2 linked regions of the Oryzias latipes genome follow. The protein of the gene in region 1 binds, or shares a complex with, the protein of each later gene. Links are inferred from orthologs where the notes say so. Each region holds a gene or a part of one and is shown on either strand. Other genes may lie near its edges.

What was found.
Region 2: the proteins of ap2m1 (region 1) and p2rx4 are in contact, whole or in part, in a crystal structure (PDB 2BP5), measured with the Rattus norvegicus proteins. The link is inferred for Oryzias latipes from reciprocal best matches to the Homo sapiens genes AP2M1 and P2RX4. Residues at the interface, in NP_446289.1 of Rattus norvegicus: Phe174, Leu175, Asp176, Lys203, Asn217, Leu316, Ala317, Gln318, Lys319, Glu391, Val392, Pro393, Lys400, Val401, Arg402, Tyr403, Leu404, Ile419, Lys420, Trp421, Val422, Arg423, Tyr424, Ile425; in NP_113782.2 of Rattus norvegicus: Val375, Glu376, Asp377, Tyr378, Glu379, Gln380, Gly381, Leu382, Ser383, Gly384.

The regions. Positions count from the first base shown.
Region 1 is NC_019875.2:21,532,210-21,541,179, forward strand, and holds the start of ap2m1 (AP-2 complex subunit mu), read left to right. Parts: upstream 1-3,129; 5' UTR 3,130-3,344; intron 3,345-5,654; 5' UTR 5,655-5,702; coding exon 5,703-5,776; intron 5,777-8,315; coding exon 8,316-8,581; intron 8,582-8,785; coding exon 8,786-8,868; intron 8,869-8,970. Other genes in the region: dvl3 (segment polarity protein dishevelled homolog DVL-3), read left to right, coding at 1,441-1,802.
Region 2 is NC_019867.2:25,318,464-25,327,558, reverse strand, and holds p2rx4 (P2X purinoceptor 4), read right to left. Parts: upstream 5,046-9,095; 5' UTR 5,015-5,045; coding exon 4,875-5,014; intron 4,786-4,874; coding exon 4,638-4,785; intron 4,559-4,637; coding exon 4,487-4,558; intron 2,830-4,486; coding exon 2,757-2,829; intron 2,672-2,756; coding exon 2,575-2,671; intron 2,494-2,574; coding exon 2,413-2,493; intron 2,328-2,412; coding exon 1,980-2,327; intron 1,894-1,979; coding exon 1,800-1,893; intron 1,721-1,799; coding exon 1,655-1,720; intron 1,574-1,654; coding exon 1,469-1,573; intron 1,342-1,468; coding exon 1,309-1,341; 3' UTR 361-1,308; downstream 1-360. UniProt on the Homo sapiens protein: ATP-gated nonselective transmembrane cation channel permeable to potassium, sodium and calcium. CTP, but not GTP or UTP, functions as a weak affinity agonist for P2RX4.

The sequences.
Region 1 (8,970 bases):
TGGCTCTGCCACATACAAGTCAAGGATTCATTGTAACACTGGGAGATGAAAAAAAAAAAAAAAAGGGCTATAAAAAGCAAAACCACATCTGGAATACAGTTTGAAGTCTCTGCTTTAGGGCCGGTTGAAATGGACAGTCAACATCTTGAAACAGGCAAAAATGCCTTTTACAATTGATCATGTGATTTGGACGCTCTGTCCATTCCTAAGAGTTGATCATAAATTCTACCAGATGATTTTTTTAAACATATTTTTATCTTATTGCATTAGTGGAGAGTATCAAACACCCCTGCTAGACTTCATTTACTTTAAAATGCTGCTGTTCATGGCAGTAAGCACCCAATAGATTCAAAAGTAACACTCAGCAGAATCTATTCAAACACATAACTGCAATAAAACATGTTTACCAGTCTCCGTTGCATTAAACCTAATTTCTAGTTTTAGTTTAGAATAACATACAAATATAAATTGTAATCCACACACCAAAAGTTTTTTTCTGTGTTCAGTGTTTTATATTGATTTCTTAAAAGACCATCAGTTTAGCTGCAAATATGTTGATTAACATTTTATAACATGATTTGAAAAAAATTAATTAAAGTTTACATTTAGATGTTTTCTTTTAGTGCCAATCTAGTTTAGTTAAAGATATATGGTTTACCATTTTTGCACCAATTTTCTATGATTATTTTTGCTTGAAATTCTTTCTTTTGGATTTTAATGTCATGATGGGTCTACTAAAGACATTTTATTAGACAAGTCATTCTTTTGGTTAAACATGCCCAACATACTGACTAATATTTCGTCATCCCATAAAATCACGTTGAATTCTTATAGAGCGTTCAGTCTCAGTTTTCACAAGGTATATTGTATGAAAACGGGGCATCAAATGCTGCTGCACTATGTTTTACATACGATACGTTGCACGGCCAAATAATTTCATATTTGCATGCCTTGTGTGCAGTGAGCTTATTGCTTCCATCCAACACAGCTGTTCTTTGAAAGCCCCTCCATTTATTAGTTTGGAAATTTAAACCTTTTTTTTGAAAAGAGCACTGCAAAATAAATCTGAAATATTCTGTTTAGAGTTAACATGCTCTTTACAAATAACATGGCTGTGATATTATCTGCGGGAAAAATGTAATAGAACAGGCAGATGGCATCTCGTCAAACGGATTTGGTTTGTAAACCTAGAAAATATGGAAAAATCTCAATCTGTATTAAATGTATGAACACCTGTAGATATTTGTGTGCTGTTTTGAGTCTGGAAGTTAATGAATTCTCTTAGCTCGTGATTGTACTGGTCTATAATAAATGCACTAGAAAAATTAGATCATGTCTGTGGCATACCCATGAAAAATAGTTTACTGTCATTAAAAAATGGTAAGATTTTTGGCTACTGCATTCAAACTGCAATGATTGTTTCCTATGCTTTATCAACAGGAAGCAGTGGCTCCAACTGCAGCAAGAATGAAGGTAGAAAATCTGGCGGCAGCGGCGGCAGTGAATCGGAGGTCCGAAGCCACAGAGCTCCCAGTGAGCGCTCGGTGGCTCCCCCTAGTGAGAGGAGCATCCGCAGCTCTCTCAGCCAGCGCAGTGCCAACTCCCATTTGCTGTCATATGGGCCCGGTCTCGTCTATGGCCCCCCTGGTTTACCGCCTCAGCCTGCACATCTGTCTACAGCTGCCCCCGGCGCCCCACAAGGCAGAGAGCTGGCCTCTGTGCCCCCCGAGCTCACCGCCTCGCGCCAGTCTCTGCGTATGGCAGTGGGAAATGCTGGAGAGTTCTTTGTCGATGTGATGTGACTGTAGCCTTCTGTTGGAGAAGAAAGTATTAGATTGGACTTTATCAAATAACAAGGCTGAGAAGGACAGCGTGACATTGTGGGAGTGGGAGATTAACAAGTTGGAAACTATGGCCTTGATTTCACTTTCCTTTATAGCAGTCCATTTTTTGCATGCCAAAAGAAAAACCTTCACCTCATTTGTGCTTCTGTTCTTAGTCATTTAGTTATAAGCGTCATACTTTCTTCAGTGAAGAAACAAAGCCTGGAACCAAAGCGCCTTTCACAGCCTCTGCTCCATGCGGGGAGACGTTTTGTGCAAGGACAACAAACAAGAGAACGGAGGGAGGCTTGGAAACGATCTGCTGGGGAAGAGGATGAAGTGCTTTAGCTTCCAGATGTTTTCTAATGTGTTCTGCTGTTTTCTATTTCTTCCAACCTCTCATCTGCCTTCCTGATCTGACACTACATGTCCTCATAGTGTACATCAGAAATGAGAAAAAGAGCCTTTTTCCTCCCTCTCTTGTTTGTGCACCTAAATTCTGACCTCAACCGAAGAAACTGAGCAGAAGTTTAAAAGAACTCAACCTGAGTCAGATCTTTGAATTGTTTAACACAAATGGAAAAAAAGTAGTGCAGGAGAATTTTTTTTTTTGCAGTAATGATGCATTTGTGTTATAATATTCATCATTTTCTAACCCTTAACCTCAGCGTTTAGCTCTATAGTCATTTTTACACAACACCTCAGCTGCTTTACCAGAAAATCATCAACCTGTTTTGTATAGTAGAAAATGTTTCTTATCAGACTTTTCACACTACTCTTTTACTGAGAAAGAAATGTCTTTTTTATTTATAAAGATAGTTTTATGATATATCTGTGTGTTTGTGTGGTGTTTTTGTGCGCACTAAAGAAACTGGTCAGATAAATTCCGTCATTCTGAGATATTTAAGGTCATGATTGCATTTCAAAGCAGTGAATTTAAGACTTCAGGTGAATAAACAAATGATATAATGAAGGTTGAACAAAAGCAGATTTAAAAACATTACACAGAAAAGTACGAATATATTATGAGTGAAAAACTTTTAACTTTTATAATCAACTATATAAATTTATATATTGCTCATTATTTGAGATCAATTTGTTTATAAATTGCAGGCGATTATTGACCAACAATTGTTTTTGACTTAAAATGGTCGAAATCAAAGTAAAAAAATATCTTTGGGTCTTTTTGGTGCGATTGATTGGGAACATTCCTCAAGGCTTGGCCTATCGCTTTATTTTATAAACTAGTTTGAAAATACACATTTCTAACTACATTGGATGAACAGCTCGTGTAGTTTCTCAACTGCTAGGCAGGCCTGGGCGCGGTTAACACCCAGCCATCGTACTGGCCGCGCCTTTTCTTCCTGTCAGCGGAACAGGCGTGCGTAAGGACGGCGAGTCAGCTGACAGTTATCGGGGGACCGGGGCAGCGGGTGTGTGAGCAGAGATTCTGCTCTGCAGACGTTATATTTAAGACCAGGCGGGAAGGGAAAAACTCCTGGTGTTGGTGAGAGGACCAAGGTAAGTTGACAAATTTGTCGTTGTATCCGGAACGAAACGATTAGCTAGAACCCAGTGACTCGCGAAAAGCAGGTCAGCGCTTTCCCCTCTATGCTAACGTTAGCAGCTATTTGCCTAGCTAACGTCAAGCTAGCAGGAGTTAGCCACACGATAACAGAAATGAAGTAATTTCCATTTTGTGGAAACGCTGAAACTGCCGCGTGTGCATGAGATGTTTAAAACACATTTGTCGAACGAGCGACATTGATTGTTTTAACAAACACGTAACCGTTTTGTGTAGAAAACCTGTCAAGTCGCAGAATTGTAGTACTTGTGACCGGATATTCCGTTTGAAAATTCGCCATGCACGACGGTATTTCACTGGAAGCCATCGCCTGCTAACCCGCTATCGCTAGCTAAATTAGCTTAAATTAGCAGTCTGCTTTTACCGAAGAACAAACACTCGGCTGTGTTGCGTCCACGTAACTGTTTAAACAAAACGTTACTGGTAAACTTGGCCCTTGCTTTTCTACAAACATTTGAAATGTATGACTGTATGAAAATGGCCCCAGTGAGTGAGCAGACATCTTGACTTCGCCAGAAAAAAGAGGCGATTAAATCTCTTCAGGTTTTGTGCGGATGGTTAAGTCACGACTTAGCGGTGTTTAAGCGGAAAACATGCTGCTAATCCTGCAGCTAACGTGTCAAGTCTCCCATAGTGTCGGTTTTTCGATGTTTGGATTTTCTGCTCGAGGAATTTGAAATGTCCTTCATGGTTTCCAGAAGGTTCATTCTTATCATCAAGGAGAGAAAAAAGGAGGGACAGAGAGAAATTCCTGTCTCCAGCAGCCCTTAAGTTACTTTTTGTATTTTTTTAAACCTTAAACTGCTACTTCTGTTTTTTTTTTTTTTTTTTTTTTTTTTTTTTATCTAAATTAAATTGATGAGCATTTGTATTCGGCTAAGTGACACATCAAAGACCCACTCCAATTAAAATTGTGTTTTTAACATGTTCTTGACTTGTGGCACTTTTCTGATTATAGAGGACGTACATTAAGAAAATTGAGCTTAAAATTGTGTTTGAGTATTTCTATATTCAAATTGCTGTGAATCAGGAGCAGACGAAAAAACTCCATTGGAAAATGCTCATAGCAGGGAAGTAGGTGCTGCAATCATTGGGCCACAAGCTCTGTACTCCGCTACATTTTGATGCATCCACTTGCAGACTAATAGATCCATCCATGCATGTCTGCATTTTCCTCGCCTGAACTGATATCTGGCTCAACACTGGACAGCTGGACAGCTCCAAAAGTGCTCGCCGTTTTTATTGCTCCAATAATTGGGTTGGAGGTGTGAATAGCTGTAAGCTAGCGGGAGGGCATTAAAACAGATGGATAGAGGCAACTTGGAAACAAACTACCCATAACAGCTCCTAATCTTCTTCTTCTATCTAATATGTCACTGGAGGAAAAGAACTGCCGTTTCATTAGTATGGAGATCCATTGCCTCATCAAGTCAGCGTGTTGGATATGTGTGTGCATCTTTTTGCTTCCTTCGAGTCCGAATGGAAGAAGTGCAGCTGCAGGAATTAGTCAGCTGGCAAAAGGGAAACGAGGATGAGAGAGAAAAGAGGATGTGAGGGACAAATGTGTCTCTGTGTCACCAGCGGTGACTCCCTCACTTTCACTTCTCCTGGCTAATTTTTAATCCTCCATGTCAGTAGTTTTCAGGTAGATACTCAATATGACTATGGATGGAGGCTTAAAACCAACTTTATATTCAAAAAGGATGCATTTTTCTTGTAAAATTACAACTTTGCTCTCATAATTTTACGACTTTGTTCTTGTAAATGTTGATTTTTTTTTTTTGTTGTACTTAATTTTTATTTACTTGTATGGGGCCTTAATATTTTGTTGTAGATATGTACCCCAAAAAGGTACTAGATTTAAATACATGTTTGTATTTTTCAATCATGCATATGAAGATCCCAGCAAAAATGATCACAACAAAAAATGAGATCTTTAACACAAGGTGAATATGTATAAGAAGTAAAACACATTGTGTGGTATTATTCTTTACTACACCAACAATTTTTTCTTCCTTTTTTGATACACAAATCACATTTCTTCATTTAATTTTTATTTTGTATAAATTTAGTGCTTTGTAAAAAAAACTATATTTATAAACTCTGTTTTAAAGATTTTATTGATTCATTGAAGATTTTCCATAAATAAAATATATTCTGAGAGTTACACCTTTGTGAGGGGGGGGGGGGGGGGGGGAAGCTTGGGGACCACTGCCTTCATGTCGTTCCTTTCTGTTTTTTGCCAGGTGGTGTTTGGTTTCATCATGGCAAGGTGTGTTTGAGAGGCAGCCACAATGATTGGAGGACTGTTTATCTACAACCACAAGGGGGAGGTCCTGATCTCCCGTGTCTACCGAGATGACATAGGGTATGTTTGACACGAACTAACCTTCTGTAAGTCTCCTCAAGTTGTGGAAGACTTCAGTTCAATGGAACTATCTGGATCCTGCGTTGGAGGGCTAGCTGGAGTTGATCTCCTCGATGAGAGGATTATGTCACCACATCCAGCTAAAATCATGTCTGCTTGTGCAAGGAAGCTGAGTTAGACGTAAGCCTGGATTAAATCATCCGCTCATATAACATTGTTTAAGGGATTAGATGCTATTTATTTAACAATCTGAAGGCCTATGCAAATTGAATAAATGATTAGAGTTACAGATGCTCAGGCGCATTATCAAACCACACTCTCTGCTTTAGCTAGAGCTGTTCATCAAGAGTTGACTTTTGTTTTCAGTTCTAGAGGCAGGAAGAATTACAGAGAACCTAAATTGGATGGTTAAAAAATACTTGGATGACCCATAGCTAGTTTCTTATGTACAAAAAGTATTATTTATGGTCTTTTAAGTGTTGTTCTTTCAGATTTAAAACAATCAGCAGATTGTGCATGTCCATTGACTAAACCAGTGGTTGAGTTTTAGATGCAAGGCCTCATTCATGGCTAGGAAACTTGTTTCAATCAAAATGTCATAGTACTGTGAACCAGAACTTGCAGACTTGTTGACTTGGGGGTTTATGTTGTCTTAGCGGACTGTTCAGTCGACATACAGAAGAAGAATGGGCAAAAAGTTGCACAGCAGATTTACCATATGGGTCAATTTAAAGGCAAAATCAGAATTCAAAATTTTTTTTGTGCATTGGTATAGTTCTGAGGGAGGATGGCAAAAGCAAAGTGTGCATGCCTAATGCAGGTGTTCAGTAGGATTTCTTGCATCTGCACATGCGGCTCTTCAAATACATTTTCCAAACATAATAGAACACTTAAGAAAAGCGTACACTTCTTTCCACTTTTCTTCTCTTTGCCACAATTAGTTGTTTTTGCTTCATTTTCAGCCATTGTTGCATTCTTGATCATCCTCAGCAGCTTCTGTCTTCTCATACAGACACAATGCGTTTTGCTGAATAAAGCGGGAAAAGACGGAAACAAAAGAAACCCTGATGTAGCAGTTCTTGACTTTGCATAATCCGCTGGAAAACTAAAACGCTATGAACTTGAGGCATGTTTGCAGTAATGTTGATTGCCATTACCTTAGCCCACACACTGTACTAAAGGGGAATTCAATCTGTTGAGGTGTTGCACTGTAAACCCCAAGGATAAAGTGTAGTAAAATAATGCTAACCTTGTCCCCTAATGATTTACCTAGCCCCCCACTTCCCTAAAAAAACCCTCACCTTACTCATTCTGTCTACACAATGCACGAAAATGTCTCCTGTACATTTTTGTCTTCATCCTTCTCTCCTCTCTATTTTCTGTATCACCATTATCCTCCATCTGTCCATCACGGTCCTTGTAGGAATAGGTAAGAGCTACTGCAGCCTCTACAGCATGAACCCCACCTTTTAAAGGCTACAACTCGAGGATCTCATGAACCCCAAAGTGCATGCACATCTGTCCAACCATCAGGATTCCTGCTGATTCTTCTAAGCATGTCACCTGTCATGTTATCATCTAAAAAAAGAGAGATTTAAGGAATTCATACATAACCAGAACTGCCACTTCTAGCATGTCATTTGAGCATGGAAATTTTCCAGGCAAGTCATCTGAATTGTCATTTATTCATTTAATTTCTGTTTTTTAATTCAAAAGTAATGAGAGAGTTTGGATTAAATCACCCGGTTAAAGCTAGACCTTGGATTTAACTACAGCTGGACATAAATTTGCTGCCAGTTTGTGTTTTTTGTTCATTTGTGGTTAATAAAAACACCTCACACCCCAACCAGGTAAGGCAGCATCCTGAACTAACATGCCTCACACTCACTCCAACACGTCCACTTGTTTCCATGGAGTCTTCATGGACAGTTTTTTCAGCGTGTTAACATCTGTGAACCAACCCGGCCTGTTTCACACCGCAGTGTTTATAGGAACCGTGGTGCAACAACCATTAAGGGATCATACAGATCCTCTACATCATTTGTGATAATTGTATGTTTCTGGTTTTGGTAATGTCTGTTGTGAGTTGATGTGCACTCCAGAATATTCCCAGCAATTAGCAGTGTGGTTTGGTACTTTTGTCAGGACAAGCTCCATCCTGTCCACTGTATCCGTTTAAATTGAGGGCTGTTGAGCATTGTAGAGCGTTTTACCACAAAAGAACTAGATAAAAATCCTACTTGGATAATTATTGGTTTGAAACATTTTTTTTGTTTCCACAAAGTCCAGTTAATGTTTTTGCTGTGCTGTGAGTTTTTATTTGTTGGTTTGATCACAGTTTAGACATTAAAACGAAGTGTCTACCTCCTCATTCTCCCTCTGCATTTTATTCCTATTAAATATGTCCATGCTTTAGAGAATTTTTCTTTTTTTGCAAAAAATATTTTCACGTCAAACGATCCATTCTCATTTGTCACAAAACCTTAATCCGTTGACTCCATTCCTAAACTTTCTTTCTGCTCCTCTTCTTCTGTGGCAGACGTAACGCCGTGGACGCGTTCCGCGTGAACGTGATTCACGCCCGGCAGCAAGTGCGATCCCCAGTGACCAACATCGCCCGCACCAGCTTCTTCCACGTCAAACGCTCCAACATCTGGCTGGCGGCCGTCACCAAGCAGAATGTCAACGCTGCCATGGTGTTCGAGTTCCTCTACAAAATGTGTGACGTCATGACGGCCTACTTTGGCAAGATCAGCGAGGAGAACATCAAGAACAACTTTGTGCTCATCTATGAGCTGCTGGATGGTATGAAGTGACTGTTCAGTTTTAGACGGTTGTTGACACAAATACAAAAATCATGCTTTGACTGATCTCTGAGAGTTGGGACGTTAGCACCAATATTTTGCTTTGAAGTTTCTTTCTCGGAGCTGTTAGCTTTCATCATTTCATGATCTAGGGTTCTCTCTTGCCTATCTTATCTGTTGCTGATAGTTGTGTTTGTTTGTGCAGAGATTCTGGACTTTGGTTATCCCCAGAACTCTGAGACCGGGGCCCTAAAGACTTTCATCACCCAGCAGGGCATTAAGGGACAGGTACAACATCCACACTCTGACTGATCAAAAATAGGCTAAATGTATGCTGTCTATATGTGTAAAATTATACAGAATGCTAAAATAAATTCCTGTTAATCCTGT
Region 2 (9,095 bases), on another chromosome or scaffold:
AGTGGTTGGCGCCTCTTGCCTCACAGCCAGGGGACCCTGGGACCTCCCTGTGTGAAGTTTGCATGTACTCCCCGTGTAAGTGTAGGTTTTCTCTGGGCACTCTTGACCTCTTCCCGAAAACATGCTTAACCGGTTAATATATGACTCGAAATTGTGCCTAGGTGTGTATTTGAATGCTAAAATTTAAACGCCACACTCACTCTGAACTGTCTCAGCTGACAGTTCAGAGTGAGTGAGACAGAAGTAAAAATCAAGGAAATCACACAATTTTTTTTAATTATTTTTAGAATAGTGCAGAATATGAGGAGTTAGGTAAACTTCAGCTACAAGACACAGAATGCGGGGAAACAATCGAGGAAATCACATAGTAGGATTTTAATGAAAGAATTGATAAATTAACTCCTACAAATAAGCAAGAATTCGGTTCCTCACAGACCTGTTACCACTCCTTTAAGAAGCTCTTCTGTCCAGAACTGGCCATCAGTATTTATGTATCTTCTTTGAACTGGTTATCTGTATAAAAGACACTTGTCCACACCCTTAAACAGTGAGACTGCAGTCTCTCCACTCTGACCAAAGAGCTGTCTAAAGACACCAGAGAAAGCTTGTAGACCCGAACCAGACAGACATGAAGCAGTCTACAATCAGCACGTAATGGGTCAACATGCAGAATTGGTGACTGCCAAATGAATATGTTTTTAGACCTGAACATGCTTGCAAACTACTAACTTAAATGTTGACCTGTTGATGTCTTTGTATTCACTGGAGCAACAATAGTAAAATGATCCTTGTTCCTTGATTTATAGTCTGATTAATTCAACGTAGCAGTTTCTTCCTGAGCCAGACAGAAACTGAAAGTGGTTGAGGTAATAAAATCTCACTTTGGATTCAAAAGGTCTCGTCTTGCAAAGGCGTAATCAAAAATGGAAATGGAAAAGGAACTGTCATTGTATCACTAAAATTGAGAAAAAAAATTCTTTATTTTATTGATTTCTTAAAGACCGAATGTTTGCTTTTAACACAGACTTCTATCAATGTTTCTTTAGTGAATCCCACATTGAAGGTAATGTACAGTAGGGTTAACCTTTCTGCCCAGAGCACATCCACTATCTAGGCTGATGAATAACTTTTGGGATTTACTGACAGTAAAACAACAACTTTTCTCAGGAGTTAACTGACACAGCAGCACAAAGGAGCTTTTGCTTTAAATTTACACACAGAAACCGCTTTAGTAAATGATCTGAATAGCATTTTTAGAGCACATCCCATTTTGGTGCACAAAGAAACTTTCGGTGCTGCTTGAGTGAATCATTGGGTGCCATAGGTGGTCCCCATTGAAACCTGCATAATAAAAATAGAAAACAGGCAGAACAAAAGACACGTTAAAGACTTGTGCATACAAATATGAACAAGAGCAAAACATGCAAGAGACGTCAGAGCATTGAGCCTCAGAGCAATGGTTACTTACAGGTTCACTGTCAGGACTTTCAACCAGATATGTTACTTTCTGTTTGGTGTAGAGATCCCTCTTTCTCATGCATGTTAACATAACCCAGTCTGCAACAATGGGCACCTGATGAAAATATTAGCAACAGTGAAATTCTGAGCGTCGCCGCTTTTGCTTTTAATGTAATACTTTTTTTTTTTTACATACCAAACTTAGAAATGATAAAGCTGCACCCAGATTCACTATCGCTGGAACAATTCCAAACTTCCCTGCCTGAAGGATCCAAAACCAGAATCATTGCAGAGTAAACGTTTCATTCTACAGAAGATTTTAGGATCTGTTTAGGCCTTACCGTGCCGAACACAATGACCTCGAAGCGGATTCCATATGCCTTGATTAACGTTCTTTCCTCCACCCCGTCTGCTCTTTTGTAGAACTTTGCAAATCTGAAAAATAACCAAATATATAAGCCTGATGATGCCATTTTCAGCGTTATCAACTTCTTAAAATGCTTTCATTAAAACAGACTCACCTGAAGTTGTAACCTGGGGCCACATCGTTACCCTGGTTTTGGTTGTCCAGCCGGTGGAAGCTGTATTTGGGAAGACACTTGCCGGCCCACCAGTCGAGGTCGCAGCTCCAGTCGATAAGAATTCCCAGGATGCCACCCTTTAAGCAAACAACGCAAGAACATGTTAGCAAAATCTGTGTGGTTTTCCATTGAGATTCCTTACTTACCTTCACTGCCATCTCTTGAAAGTCTGCTTCCGCCTCGGAAATGATGCGTTTGAGGCGGAATATGGGGCAATCAGGGTCGGTTAAACGGTTGAACTCACAGTGTGCCAGATACGAGGAGTTAACATGAGGCAGGATGTTTCTTCTGACGGAGGAAGAGGATAATCACATGATAGGAGACCTAAAACACCTGTGTCTGCGTGCAAACGACGTCGTAAGAGAACACGAACCCGTGAAAGTTGAACTTAGGGTATGTGATGCTGTTTTTTATCAGCACTGTGAAGTTCTCTGCCGCAGCCAGCAGTGCCTTTCTGTGGGACGAGAACTCATCACGTTAGGTCTCGTTTGTGCAATCCTTCCTGCAAAAACTGAAGCACTACAGCAGTTCTTACTTCGGCAGCCTTGTGTCCACTTCAAGTGGACACCATGAGAACACTTCACACGTCTTGACAGTGGTGGAAAAGTTCTCACACAGTCCCGTCCGGATGCCTGGGTTAAAAAAAAATCCAGTTTCATTATGCGGACCTAAAATTTACAGATGGTGTTTGAAGCCATTTCAGACAGGGAACCCTACCGTTTCTGCGGGGATCATTGTAACCTTCAATGCAATCGCAGTCGTCTTTGCATACAGTTGATGGGTTTGGAAGCTGGAGCAGTAATCACCACAGGTTAATTCAGTTACACAACAAAGCTCTGAGACACAAAAGGTTACAAAAATTAAACAAATCTAATGACCGCCTAATTTAACAACAGCCTGGATTGTTTTTTGTCAGATTTTCAGTGATTTTCGCCTCATAAAAAAAATCCAAATACTATGCCTTATTTCCTCCTCAACAGTCATTGAAGCTAAACAAGTAATAAAAAAGCTGAGTCAGTTCATTGGTTACCAGTTTTGCTTATCACAATAAATTGACACAGTGCAAAAACTGAATCTTAATTAATTAAAAAGACCTTTGTTTCAAGACAAAATGTCTTGTTTTCTGGTCTTGCAAAAAAAAAAATTGTATTAAGAAAGTTTTTCAATAGTAAAAATTATCTTAAACATTAGAGACTAGAATTTTCTTTTAAATAAGAATTTATAGTAAGAAATTTTTTCTTACTCCATTTGCAGATTTTCTTTAAATAGTTAATAAATGAATATATGAAAATATTTTGACCAATTTCGCCTGTTTTTGCTGTGTACCCTGGAGCCAACATACATCTATGTATTCACTTGCAAAATGAGTTTCTATGAACCAGTGCAGTTACCAAAGACTTCCACTAGAGGGCAAACCATAAGTCATAAGTCAATTTAAACTTCAAGGTTTAGGAAGGTTAGTCGGTAAACACTGTCTTGACTTGTTTGGTTAGTTGTAACATTGGAGGGGATTTCTTGTTTTCTGTAATTAGATTTGGTTCATTTGATTTTTGAAATCTGGTTATTTCAATCAGCAGACCTTTTTTAATTCCAAAAACTCACAAAACTCTAAAACTAATCAAGGAACCAAAAAAATAAGAGCATGTATAAGGAAACTACAGAATGAGAACACAGAAGGAGTTATAAAAATAACAAATATTTAATACTTGGGGTATACACTGGGAAAATTGCCCTTCTCAAAACAAGTTCAAACATATAGAACAAAGATGTTTTTCTCTTGTTACAAGTAAAAAAACTTCTTAAATTGTGATGTCCTTCCCTTTCAAGATGAGACTGAATCTTGAAATTGTCAATAAACACTCACATTTAGGAATATTGATATGATAATTGAAAAGATTTCTTAAAATAAATGTAATGTTAAAAAACGTTTTCAATCTTTAAAATAGACATATTCAAACACTCCCCCCAAATATATTCTATTTTATCTTAAATTCCTAGAATTACACTATTTAACATAAATTTGTCTGAAAATTTTTACGAGTTAAATTAAACTTTCCTGTTTCCATAAATCACAAACTTATTCTTAAAATATTATAGTAATAATTTGGTTTTATCCAAGATTTTGCTTCAAATAAGATGTTTTCAAGATGAAAAAACACCTCAAAAAGATTTTCAAGATTTATTAACTTAAGTAGTTAACAAAGTTTTGTCTTTTATCAAGTGTAAACAAGATATTTAAACTAGAAACTAGACAAAAAGACTTGGTGAGACTCAGCAGTGTCCTGCAGGTTTTCCTTGTGTATTTTGGACTAAACCATTTTCCTTCTTACCTCATGGAATTAAACCCTTTACAAATGAGTTAAGAGAAAAACTTTGACATTCATTCACCCTAACCCTCCCCCCCCCCCATCTTTATTACATCAAGTTATGGCGGGCCTGTGGCTCACCTCGGGACAGTGGGACTGAGTTTGTTCAGGGGTCACAACCAAGTTGGTCAAGATGAAAAACGAGCTATCACCCTGTCAGAAAAAGAAGCAAAGCAGTTCATGACAACGTCTGTGTGTTCCTTAATAGGAATAGGATTAAATGCTGGAATACCTGAGGCGGGATTACATAATCTGCAACGTCCCACATGCGTGGGTCCATATCAGATGTGTTGGTGTAGGCAAAGCCCTTTACTTTGGTGGTGACGGTGCTGATGACAGAGTCCGTCTCCTGGTATCCCTTCTGCACCACACACACATACCTGCCGCAGGTATAGTCGTTTCATGCCTGAACCGTCATCAAGGACCACATCAGCCCCCCTCCACCCAGGAATTCATGTTCAGGACTTACCCCACCACATACAGCACCACCAGGAGCTGAGTGAACCTGAAGACGATTCCCACACCAAAGTGAGGAATAACAAGAGTTTTGGCGGTTTCGTAGTCGAAGACATGGTGCAGAAAGCCCCGGCAGCCTGCAGCTTTGCTCATCTTTGCACCATGTACTGTGACGGACTGAGCAATGATGATGAACGGACATAGTTAGTCAAATCATTGTATTCAAATCAGGCTTGGCACAGACACAATATTCCAATGTGTGTGGTTTTCTTTTTAATGTTGTAGCAAGCCCCCGTGGTGCAGACTTGCTACCTTTCCCCTGGTGTCAGTTTACTCAGCTGATGAAACTTGCTGACATCAGTGCTGGACGTGTTTTCTCCCCGTTAATGACAGCGGGAGAGTCCCAGCAGCAGCAAACTTGACTTCAAACATCTGACTGCACATTTCCATGCCACAGTCAGATAATGAAGAGACAGCTTGTCCAGCTGCTTTGCGCACACATCAAAGGCTGCAAACATCTTTGTCTTGCACCACACGGATTACAAATTCATTTTATTTCCATTCCATGAACACAGGACTTCATTTGGTCCAAATGGATCTCTGATATAAAGTCTATAAAAACAAAGCAATGTTTGCATCACACATCAACATTTGTGTCCACACTTTTCGTTATGCATGAAGCTCATATCGTCATATCTACATAGGTAAAACAGACAGCCGAACAACATTAAATGGAATAATGTTTGTCTGCATTTGTTCTCCTAACATAAAGACATGCTGGTTTATAGATTCAACTACTTTCTAACACTTTTTTTTGTGTTTCAATGTTGAATGTTCAAGTATGACATGAAGGCATTGGACAAAAATAAAATAAACAGTCCACAGTAATGGAGCTACAGTGTGAGGCAGAGCTGGATAGCCTTCTTCCGCCCCTCATCTCCATCCTTTCATTTAGTTCACGGGTCTCAGGCTCTAGGCCTTGACGGCCGGCATCCTGCTGGTTTTTTATAAAAGTCCTGCCTCATCTGCTGCTGATTACCTGGGTCAGGTGTGTTTAGCCAATAAGGGGCTTCAGTGTTTGGTTTGTTGGAAATCAAATAGGCCCCCCTACTTCATGCCTGGAGTTTGAGACCTGTGATTTAGTCATCGTAAAGCTGACAGCGGCTTTACTGATCTGGCCCTCTTTCGAAAGTGCTGTACATTTATAAAAAGGATATCCTATTTCAAACTAAAAAGGGGGGCGGGAGCTTCATACTTGGGAGAAATCAAACTCCAGCCCCCCCTCGTGCAGGTTGCCTCTGTTGCGTTGTCGAAGCTGTTCTTGCCGTGGATCTGTTTGAGGTGCTTGCGCAGCACCGGCTTGTGGGCGAACACCATCTCGCAGTAGTTGCAGCGGTGCGGTTTGTCCCCGCTGTGCAGGTTCAGGTGATCCAGCAGCGAGCACTTCTGCGTGAAGGTCTTGCCGCAGATTTTGCACTGGAAGGGCTTGATGCCGGCGTGCACCCGCATGTGTCGGTGCAGGTTGCCTTTCTGCGTGAAGGTCTTCCCACACAGGAGGCACATGAAGAGCTTGTGCATTTTGAGGTGGTTGGCGTAGTTCTCCAGTTGCCGGAAGACCCGGGCACACTTGGGGCACTGGTGGTACCACTGCAGCGGCTTGTCATAGTTCCTCTGGTGGCCGCTGTGTTTCTCTGCGGGTGGGGACTGGGGAGGGGGGCTGAGCGGGTACCTGGGCATGCCGGGTGGAGCCGCCATCTCACTGCAGCGACTGTCCACCGTGGAGTTGATGAGGGAGTGTTGGGGCTCAGGGGACTGCAGAGCTGTGGGAGGCGTGGCAGAGAAGTTCCCCGTGATGGAGGTTTCTGCCGCGTTTGACACAGACTCCACCTTCACTATGGTGATGTCATTTTCCACCATACTCTGCCTGGAATGCCTGGTCAAACTCTGGACAGGGCTTTTGGGTTGGATTATAACGTCATCATCACTGTCATCATTAGTGTCTTCCTCAACCTGGCCTACCACCATCTCTTCCTCCTCTTCGTCTTCCTCCTCCTCCTCCTCCACCACCTCCTCCTCCTCCTTCTGCAGGACAGTCTGCACCTGAGACTGCTCTCTGTGTGCCGGCGAGGGTAAACCCTCCTGCCTCTTCTTCTCCCTCTTCCTGTCCACATCCACCCTGAGCTGGTGTGAAGCCTCAGGCTTGATGAACTTGCTCAGAGCTTGGGTGCACTGCTCCACAATGTGGCCCATTTGAAGGAAGCTTGCCACTGTCAGGTAGTGCACCAATTCCAGCTCAGGAAACTCCAGCTGGCCTGTGTAGCACGACAGCAGGAGCTGCCGACCGACTTCCGCCTCCTGGATCATAGAGATCTGGACCTCTTTAGAGTCTTGCTGAAGGATGAACTGGTCCCTCAGGAACGAAGAGCCTGCAGCAAACACCACCTTGTGACCTGGAACCTCCAGCTGGTTGATGCGCACAGTCACATCGCAGAAACGTCTCTGGTGTCGCAGGAGGTTCATCTTCTGCAGCATGGAGTCCCCAAACGTGGCGAAGTGGAACTGCAGGATCACTTGGTTTTGAGCCATAGTGACCCACAAAATAGCAACAGGAGCGCCGCACCTAACCAGAGGAAAACCAGACACCGCATCACTTATTTTAAACACGCTGTCAATCATGCAAACCATTATGCAAAGCATGCAAAACAAGATTTTGTTTTCTTTACGGTTTGTTTTCACTGCATGTCAGAAAGGTTTTCCTCTGAGATCATGCACGAGTGGTTTCCAAATTAGAATGGAGCTTTGGTTTTTATACAAAAATATGAGAGAAACGCACATTTATCCAGAATTGATTTCATTTCTGCACTCCTTTTTTTTCTTTTGGGAAAGCAGGTGTAGCAGAGGATTTTCCTCCTAAAAAGACAAGAGGTCTGTCATTTTCATCTTCGATACACTTAAACTAAGAATGAAAGAATGGGAGATAAGAATCCAGGAAATCAAACTTTAGGATTTTTAATGAAATAGTTGGTAAATGTCTCAGTAAAATAAGTCACCTTCAGACAAGCCAGAATTCTGCTCCTCACAGACCTGTTAGCTCTTCTATCCCCTACTCATTTCCTGTATTAATGACACCTGTTTGAACTGGTTATCAGTATAAAAAGGCACATGTCCACACACTTAGACAGTCGCACTCCAAGCTTCACTATGGCCAAGGCCAAAGACCTGGAACAGACCCGCACCAGAATAAAAAAAAAAAATAACTGAGTCTGCAACTGGTGAGCAGCAGTTAATTTTATTCTTTGTTTTACCTCGTGATGGCAAACTCTAGTCTACGCCTCGTGAAACACTGACCAACTTCAACACAACTGGGCTGAGATCGACACTCTGCTCGGATCTTTTCAGTTAAAAATAGCGACATCTGCTGGTTGTCTATTATTACTACATCCGAGCACACATTCAATCAAACCCCTTGTGACTTCAAGAAGATTTTAAAGCTCAGTTGATGTTTGTCTTTTTATGAAATGTTTGATCAAAGGTGTGTAGTTGTCATTTATCTGAATAACGGTTTGATGTGTGAAATATGTTGCATAGTAGTATTGGCTTTGGACCCACAACAACTATGTTCATCATCATCTCCACTAGTGATTTGTTGGTCGCAAATGAAACGGGGGCGAGGGATGTTCAGATATTCTGAGTGAAGTGATCAAGTGTGGGAGCAATTTTTGGAAAATGTAATTTATACAAGACCACTAAATATTTCCGTCAGTCTGGTGGTTCATGAAAAATCTCAAACCGTGGGTCAAAATGGTCACAACAACGGTGAACAACAATCCCAGAAGCACATAGGGGGACCTAATGAATGACCTCCAGAGAGCTGGGACCAAAGTAACAAAGGCTACCATCAGTAACACACTACGCCCCCAGGGCCTCAAATACCGTAGTGTCAGATGTGTCCTGCTAAAGCCAGTGCATGTCCAGGCCCGTCTGACGTTTGCTAGAGACCATTTGGATGATCCAGAAAAGGATTGGGAAAGCGCTATGTGGTTATAAGTTTTTGGTCAAAACTCAACTTGTGTATGCAGGAGAAGAAATGCTTAGATCAGGGTTCACCAACCTTTTTGAGACCGAGGGCTATTTCATGGGCACCAAGTGGTATGAAGGGCGCCACTAAAAACCTCCTACCCCCCCCCCAAAAAAACAACAAAAAAACAACACAATTTGAGGACTTCCTTTTGTG